2 linked regions of the Neurospora crassa OR74A genome follow. The protein of the gene in region 1 binds, or shares a complex with, the protein of each later gene. Links are inferred from orthologs where the notes say so. Each region holds a gene or a part of one and is shown on either strand. Other genes may lie near its edges.

The links.
Region 2: the proteins of NCU01515 (region 1) and NCU02605 are in contact, whole or in part, in a crystal structure (PDB 3K1F), measured with the Saccharomyces cerevisiae proteins. The link is inferred for Neurospora crassa OR74A from reciprocal best matches to the Saccharomyces cerevisiae genes RPB3 and RPB10. Residues at the interface, in NP_012243.3 of Saccharomyces cerevisiae: Asp16, Asn17, Val57, Leu58, Phe62, Arg66, Leu69, Ile70, Pro71, Thr110, Asn112, Tyr114, Gln135, Asp136, Glu138, Asn140, Gly141, Val142, Leu143, Ile144, Cys145, Lys146, Leu147, Arg148, Lys149, Gln151, Ala168, Lys169, Gly171, Ala174; in NP_014853.3 of Saccharomyces cerevisiae: Met1, Ile2, Val3, Pro4, Val5, Arg6, Cys10, Gly11, Lys12, Val13, Gly15, Asp16, Lys17, Glu19, Ser20, Lys42, Arg43, Ile57, Glu58, Phe60, Leu61, Arg62, Tyr63, Asn64, Pro65.

What each region holds. Positions count from the first base shown.
Region 1 is NC_026502.1:3,218,624-3,222,507, reverse strand, and holds NCU01515 (DNA-directed RNA polymerase II polypeptide), read right to left. Parts: upstream 2,697-3,884; 5' UTR 2,457-2,696; coding exon 2,391-2,456; intron 2,318-2,390; coding exon 1,752-2,317; intron 1,672-1,751; coding exon 1,290-1,671; 3' UTR 568-1,289; downstream 1-567. Other genes in the region: NCU01514 (mitochondrial dicarboxylate carrier), read left to right, coding at 58-133; NCU01516 (mitochondrial co-chaperone GrpE), read left to right, coding at 3,263-3,535, 3,615-3,884. UniProt on the Saccharomyces cerevisiae protein: DNA-dependent RNA polymerase catalyzes the transcription of DNA into RNA using the four ribonucleoside triphosphates as substrates. Component of RNA polymerase II which synthesizes mRNA precursors and many functional non-coding RNAs.
Region 2 is NC_026501.1:2,876,113-2,879,417, reverse strand, and holds NCU02605 (DNA-directed RNA polymerase I/II/III subunit 10), read right to left. Parts: upstream 1,902-3,305; 5' UTR 1,805-1,901; coding exon 1,769-1,804; intron 1,698-1,768; coding exon 1,636-1,697; intron 1,573-1,635; coding exon 1,486-1,572; intron 1,433-1,485; coding exon 1,363-1,432; 3' UTR 554-1,362; downstream 1-553. Other genes in the region: NCU02604 (hypothetical protein), read left to right, coding at 2,179-2,540, 2,591-3,305. UniProt on the Saccharomyces cerevisiae protein: DNA-dependent RNA polymerases catalyze the transcription of DNA into RNA using the four ribonucleoside triphosphates as substrates.

The sequences.
Region 1 (3,884 bases):
GTCTTCCGCGAAAGTTTCATGGATATGATTGTGCTAACGAGGTATTGACGCGGACAGACAAACGATTTGCACCTTCATCTTCTTGGAGGGCCATCGGAAGATGTACAAGAAGGTCAAGGGCATTGAGGAATGAGTTGTCATTTGCTCCTCTTCCTGGCTACCTACCTTTTCTAATCTCTCTTTCTTTCTTCACCTTTCCTCCCATGTCCAGTCTTGGGAGTCTGCTTCTTAGACGGACTAGCAGCAGCAACAGCGGGTTTTCAAATGCATTTCAATCAAAAAGTTTGTGGGTGGGGACATAATGGCCGGATTTGTATAGAGGAAATCTGCATTTTAGAGGCCGAGTGGTGGTCTTTCTGTCAGGACCTAGATGGCGATACCTCATGTTTTCTTGTTCATAGGTTTCCTTTGTTAGATGTTCCCTCATCCGTCAGGCATTGAAGCGGCGGTAGGGCTGTCATTTCGATGGTGTTTTGGCTTTATGTAGTCTTACCCTGGGAGTTTGGTGTTTCCTGCAGAGTTGTGTAAAGCAAATAGACCAGAGCAGCAAGTGCTTACTAGACTCCAGCAACCGGCGAGAATGGCATCTTGATTTTTTATGAACCTCGCACTTTCGAACCGTTTATGAATGTTTTTTTTGGGTATTTTGGTCCCCTATGTAGTCGCCAGACCATGGTAACTATATTCACCTTTTGTCTATACCTCGCAATTGTGCGATAGATCATTTGCAGGGTGCCAATAACAGAGAGAGCTGTCCTCGTTCCGCTGCCTAGTATATGTGGTGTCTGGACGAGGGACGCTCAAATAAGATATGCTCTGGTTCCTCTCGCCCTGACTTGAATCCCTTCAGAATGCGCCTCTCTCCTCTCCCCTAATGTCAAGATCCAGCTCCCAAAGTTCCTTTTCCCAGTTTCCCCCAAAATTGACCTTGACGTGGCGGCTCGTGCCTAGCGCCAAAAGTCCGATATTTGGCCCTGATCCGTTCCGTGGGCCTCAGCCACAAAGTGTGGTTGAGTTACGGTCCCCGCAGTAAGAGACGGAGGCGCCACGATTACTAAGTAGATGCTGAGCTGGTGGTGATGGCGCGAGTGTGTGTATAGGAATGCGAATCTCAATCTTGTTTGAATGGTAAAAGTGTTGTGTTGTTAATCGAAGTGCGCAGCTCGAACTCGCGCCGCAAAGATACCGCAGATACCCAAAACCTCCCGGAAAAGACAGGCGCAATGACCTCGCAAGCCATCAGGAGGAGTAATTGACGTCGCAAATCGTAAACTGTAAGCATATGATGCTCAAGACCAAGGGTTTTGGCCGCCTCCGTAGGGAGTCGCTCCGTAGGGCGTGGTACCTCCCTGACCTCCCCAAGAGCTCTGGTTTCCTCCGTTTCCATATGGCGTAAACGATCCTTGGTCGTTCCAGTTGTCGCCACCTTCGTTGTAGCCTGGGCTGCGCGGTCCGTTGTATCCGTTCTCACCACCATCGCTTTCGGTAAGTTCGTGGATCAGACCAGCCAACTTCTGCTGGATGACCTTGATGCCTTCAGTGACAATAGCATCAGGGGGAATAGGACCGGCGGTTTCGACGTTGTAGTAGAAGCGTTGTGGTACGGCATCGTAATCGAACGGTTCGCCCTCCTGGGGAGGCTCCTCCCAGTCGGCGTACTCCGAAGGAGGCCTGGAGAGAAAAACAAAATGGTGAGACATCGGTCACATCAAAGGGAATTGGAAAAAGTGAAGATGATGGAATGTACTTACCACTCCTTCTTAGGATCCTGCTCATACCACAAGTCGAGGTGGTGCAGCTTGTTGTGAGGATCGTACTCGAAGCCGATGGCGGCACTTGGGGCCCATTTGGAATGCTCCTTTGCAATACCCTTCTTCGCGATGCATTGGAGCTTGATCTCCTGACCGTGACGAAGCTTGAGGATGAGGGGACCTTGGCCTTCAGGATCATTGATGATAGGCGAGCCGAGAACTTGGTTGACGCGATCGCCGACTGGAACAAGATCGCGGGCACAGACTTGCATGATGTCGTCGCCAGTGCACTTGGCGTGAAGGTTGAGGGTCACACTGCAATGCTCGCAGTATTCGTCGCAGTCGCAGTCCCTAGAATACAGAAGCTGCTCGATACCTTCGGCGTTGAGTGGAATCAGGCCCAGGCGGTGGGCAATGAATTCGTCGGCCAAAACGGAGCTGTTGGCCTCGATCTCGACTAGATCGATGGCAATCGTGGGAATCTCGGCAAGCATGACGCGACGAAGGGAGTTGGCGAAGCTGAGCTCGGTGTTGGAGAGCTCAAACTTGACTCGGGTGTTGTCCGCCTAGAATGATGGTTTAGAACGATGAACGAGCAGCTGAGCGCAATTGCTGTGAGCAAGAGCACACAGAACATACTTGTGAGATCTTGACGACCGGTCCCAGGGACTCGGCGTCGTCCATCACCATCGGATCGTAATCCATCTTTGCGTGTTGACCGGCGGTCGGTCAGTTGTTCTCGCTACAGTCGGCAGTTCTCGATGGTACGTTTTGTGGTGTATGATAAAATTTGGATGCGGGGGGAGAAACGGTTCAGGAAGTTGTGGTTCGAGGCAGGGTGAGTTGCGGTTGAGGTGGCCTTTGTTGAGGGCCGGTTGATGCGAAATGCAAGTTGCGGACTGATTTCGGTTTCCGGCGCGTTGACGGGTCGAGGTTCGGAGGCGCCACCACCTATGGTAGGACTGAGTGCGGCCAGTCGCCAATCTTGCCTCTGGCTGAGGCCGCAGCGGGCAGACAAAGTGACCAGGATTAAGCTGGCCTTATCTTCACATGACCTGGCGTTGGCTAACTCCACGGCGTGTCTTTAACAGAGTAGGTAGGAGCAGCCAGGTCCATCTCGACTCCCCCGCACAAAAGAGCCCCGCCAGGCACACCCGGGGCGCTGAGGTGTCGAAGCTCCAATTGTCGATTTGAGCAAAACTCGATGGTCCGGCAGGCAATTCGTCGATTTTGGGCGGTCCGTTCATGACCCGCTTTTCGGTTCGCTCCCGCCCAGCCGGCCGACAGGATTGATGCAGCAGCAGCACCCACCCTCCCACCATCCCACTGTGGGAGACACTGCGAAGGCCCCTGTTGGCCGCCCAACCCGCCGCCCGTCCATGCCGTCTCCGTCCCGTGCTAGCGCAGCTGTCTCAAAATTTCTGAGAAAGTGCCTCTCTCAACACGCGACGCTTCCCTGTCTCTGACATCGCCACATCTCACCACCCGTCACATCCAGATACCCAGCCAACATGCTACGAACAGCCCTCACCCGCTCTTCCAGAGCCCTCTGCTCCGGCGCCCGCGTTGCCGCCCAGCGCCCTATTGCTTCCCAGATCTTCCAGATGCAAGCTGCCCGGACAGCTGCTCCCCAGCTGCGCTCCGCCGCCCGGTGGTACAGCGCCGAGGCTGAGGGTGAGAAGAAGGCCGACGAGGGCGCCGAGCAGAAGGAGGGTGAGACCGATGAAGTTGCTGCCCTCAAGAAGCAGCTCGAGGCCAAGGACGCCGAGGCCCGCGAGTGGAAGGTTGGTTCTTGAGCTTCAAAGCATATGCACATACAGCCATGATGGACAAGTCACTTACACGGGATGCCCCTCTCTACAGGACAAGTGCCTTCGCACCGTCGCCGACTTCCGCAACCTCCAGGAGCGCACCGCCCGCGACGTCAAGCAGGCCAAGGACTTTGCCATTCAAAAGTTCGCCAAGGACCTCGTTGAAAGCGTCGACAACTTCGAGCGCGCCTTGAGCGTGGTTCCTCAGGACAAGCTCAAGTCGGAGGAGCAGTCTGAGCACCTCAAGGACCTCGTCAACCTCTACGAGGGTCTCAAGATGACCGAGAGCATCCTCCTTTCGACCCTCAAGAAGCACGGTCTT
Region 2 (3,305 bases), on another chromosome or scaffold:
TTAACTTGCCCAACGTTTGGGGGCGCCGGTTGATATTGAACACTTGCTGGGATGGATTCGAGACCCAACGACACTGATCCGGCGGTGATCAGCTAAAAGATATGGAAGACTGGATGGGGAGACGAACCAAAGGAGACTAGAGATATTGAAGCAAAGTGGCTACTACACAGATATGGTAAGATCACTTGAGTATGAACTTCATTCTTTCCTACACCGTCTTGGAAATGAGAACTTACGTGCCATCACTTGTACGGACATGAATGGTTGAGGGAACAGGTAAGTCGTAGACTGACCGGCGATGCAAGTCTACGGCTGGTGGGAGGGTAGGTCCATATCGGTAAAGACAACGTTCAAGTTTGTGACAATCCGAAAGCTCATTTTTCGGAAGTATATTTGCTACCGATGAGCAACGCAAAAGCATCTCTGACCGAGTGGCGTCCAAACCGGGCCTAGGAACAGGGCCAACGCTCACTTCGCTGCCACATACATACAGTTCGAGTCACTGGACACGGGCATGGGTGAACCAATTATCAGGAATTCGGATGTGGAAGCTACACAGATGAATAATTCTTCATAAAGAGAGAGTTGACCGGGCGCTGAATTTGAAATACTTTTGAAAGATATGACGTTCAGCATACTCATCTGAGCGAATAGCGTAGGCTACCCCAGTCTGTACCCATGTTATAAACTGAGACGTGTGATTTAGAAGGCCGTGCTACCTTTTGCGAATGTCTCTTGTTCACCAGCGCCATCATCCCTTGCACTGGCTTGATGCCCCCACAAATTGTAAGGACCATCCAATCCGAGCGTCGCTTCGTATTCGATCGGTCCAGCCCAGCCGAAGCGGTAGACTTTTCCACCATTCCCAAAAGACATCCGAACCCGAGGAGTTGGAAACCACGCAGGCGAGCATGACGGCTTGTAAGTCGCCAATGTAGATAACCAGATGTGGTTGGTTATGACACATCTAGCCACACGGAGCAAGTACCACGTTCCGGCTAAAGACAATGGCTCTCCGTGGTACCACAACCTCTCAACTGTAGTTGCAAACCGAAAAGGTAGCCTGTTGTGTCTGGCCATGTTGCTCCGGTAGACCTAACCGCCAACAGAACTTACACCAGAAACAGTTGTCCCAAATGCACCTTGACGCCACAGGTTCTAACCCAAAGAAAAGCACAACCAAATCAAGCTCTTGCTTTCGGCCTCCTGGATGCGAGACCAGGGCCGCTTCTATACCCTGCCCGGTACAGTTGTCTTAATACTCCCAAACGCCTAATGATCATGCAGTTTTCTCTTCCCGGACGATAGAGTGGTCGGCTTTCCCGAATAGTTGATGATGAATTCTTCGACCGCTCGGGCATATTACATCCCCTGTTCCTCATTGCGTGTCTGCATCTCGATCTTCTTGACGTTGCGACCATCGGGAGTATACCTAGAGCGTAGTCAGCCACCAAGGTCCAGCGCGGCGAGTCCACAAGAACGTACTTGAGAAGCTTCTCGATGAGGTCGACGTGGGTCATGACCATGCGACGGCAGCAGTAGCGCTTGAGGCCGAGCTGATCCAGAGCATCACTAATCATCGTCTGTCAGTTGTTGTTATTTGTAAATCGAAAGTCGTTTGTAGATGTCGCATACCCATCGGTGATCTCCTCGCCATCGATCAGCTGCAGGTATCTCTCCCAGAGATCACCCACCACCTATGTGCCAAAGTCAGTAACCTTGTTAACGGGTAAATGGCGGAGGAAGCGGGGCGCGTCGCGTCGCGTACCTTGCCGCACGAAAAGCATCGGATTGGAATGATCATTTTTGTTAGCGAGTCGAAAGCCTACAAAAAAGTGTTTGGCGGGATGGCGATGTTCGCGGCAGATGAGCGACCGGCTTCTGGCAAGATGGTGGTGCAAGATTGGTCGTAGTGACGGTGCAAGTTTCAGCATGAACTTTGAAGGGCGAGGCGGCAACTTTACCTGTGAGGTCGGAAGGCCCCAGCAAATTTGACTTTCTAGGGTCTGATTGGTCACTTCAGCCTTATCACCGATAAGAAAGCTGCCCCACATTAACTTTTCGAAGGGTACTCCGCCAAAATTTCTTCTGCTGGGAGGATGAGGCGGACATGAAGCTCGGTACGACAAATCGTGTGTTCCTTGCCAGACTTGCATCGTCATATACTCAAAGGACAAGATGGTGGAGCTACGCACTCCTCGCAAGACCTCGAAGGCGCCCAAGATGGATGCGAATGGTGAAACTGCCTCGCTCAAGAAGAGAAAGAGAGAGCCCAAGGAAGAGACGACCGCTTCGCAAAAAAGGCAACGATCGAAACCAAAGACCCAGCCTGCTGCCGCCAATGGCAATGTTGACGATACTACCGACTCCCAAGAAAGCACCCTTTTCGAGAACAAAGACTTGCAAACGACCAATGGCGATTTGGAACTTACGGATGCTTCGAATACCTTGACGACGCGCAACACATCGGCATGGAAGGTATCGAATCCTATGGGCGGCCGCATGCTCGACATCGATCCCATATTTTCCTTGGATGAACGGTTCGTTTGAGACCAGTCCCCCAGGCAGGGGCTCTACTAATGCGACTTAGATACCTCCTTATCACCTACAACACATCAATTCAAGTCTATTCCACCGAGGATTCCCTGCTCGTCAGGAGGATCTCCCTTCCCATCACCAAGCTCGACAGCGGCGCCGAACTTTCTTCTCCCCACATCGTTGCGTCTGCGCTATCCGCCAGCGCACCCGAATTCCTCTGGGTTGCATGCTCAGATGGCCGCATCTGGCACCTTAACTGGGCGACAGGTGAAGGCGCCGAAACACCCTTCACGATTGACGTCAAGAAAGTCCTCGACATGACCGTCGAATCGGTTGATATCCGCGACAAGCAAGAAGATGTCCTGTTTATTCTCCAGAAGTTGACCAAGTCCTCGGCGCAAATCGTGGCCTACGACCTCAAGGCCCTCCGTAAGAAGACCGGCAAGCTTATCCACACATACGACGAGAACCCGCAATTGCTTCGTTCCGCTGCTGGTGGCAGACTCATTGTTGCTGCCGCGAAGGAGACGCTACACATCGGCACTTTGAAGTCCAAGGGAAAGACCGTCAAGGCGGTTGATGACCTCGAATACGCGTTCCACTCTTTCGGCGTGCCGGATTTGGTTACTTGCCTCGACATTCGCCCGACTCTCCAAACAACTAAGAAGGGTGGCACAGAAATCCAGTTCGTTGATCTCGTCATCGGTTGCGCTCGCGGTGCCATCTACGTTTATGGTGACCTTCTCTCGAAACTACCCGGCAGCGCG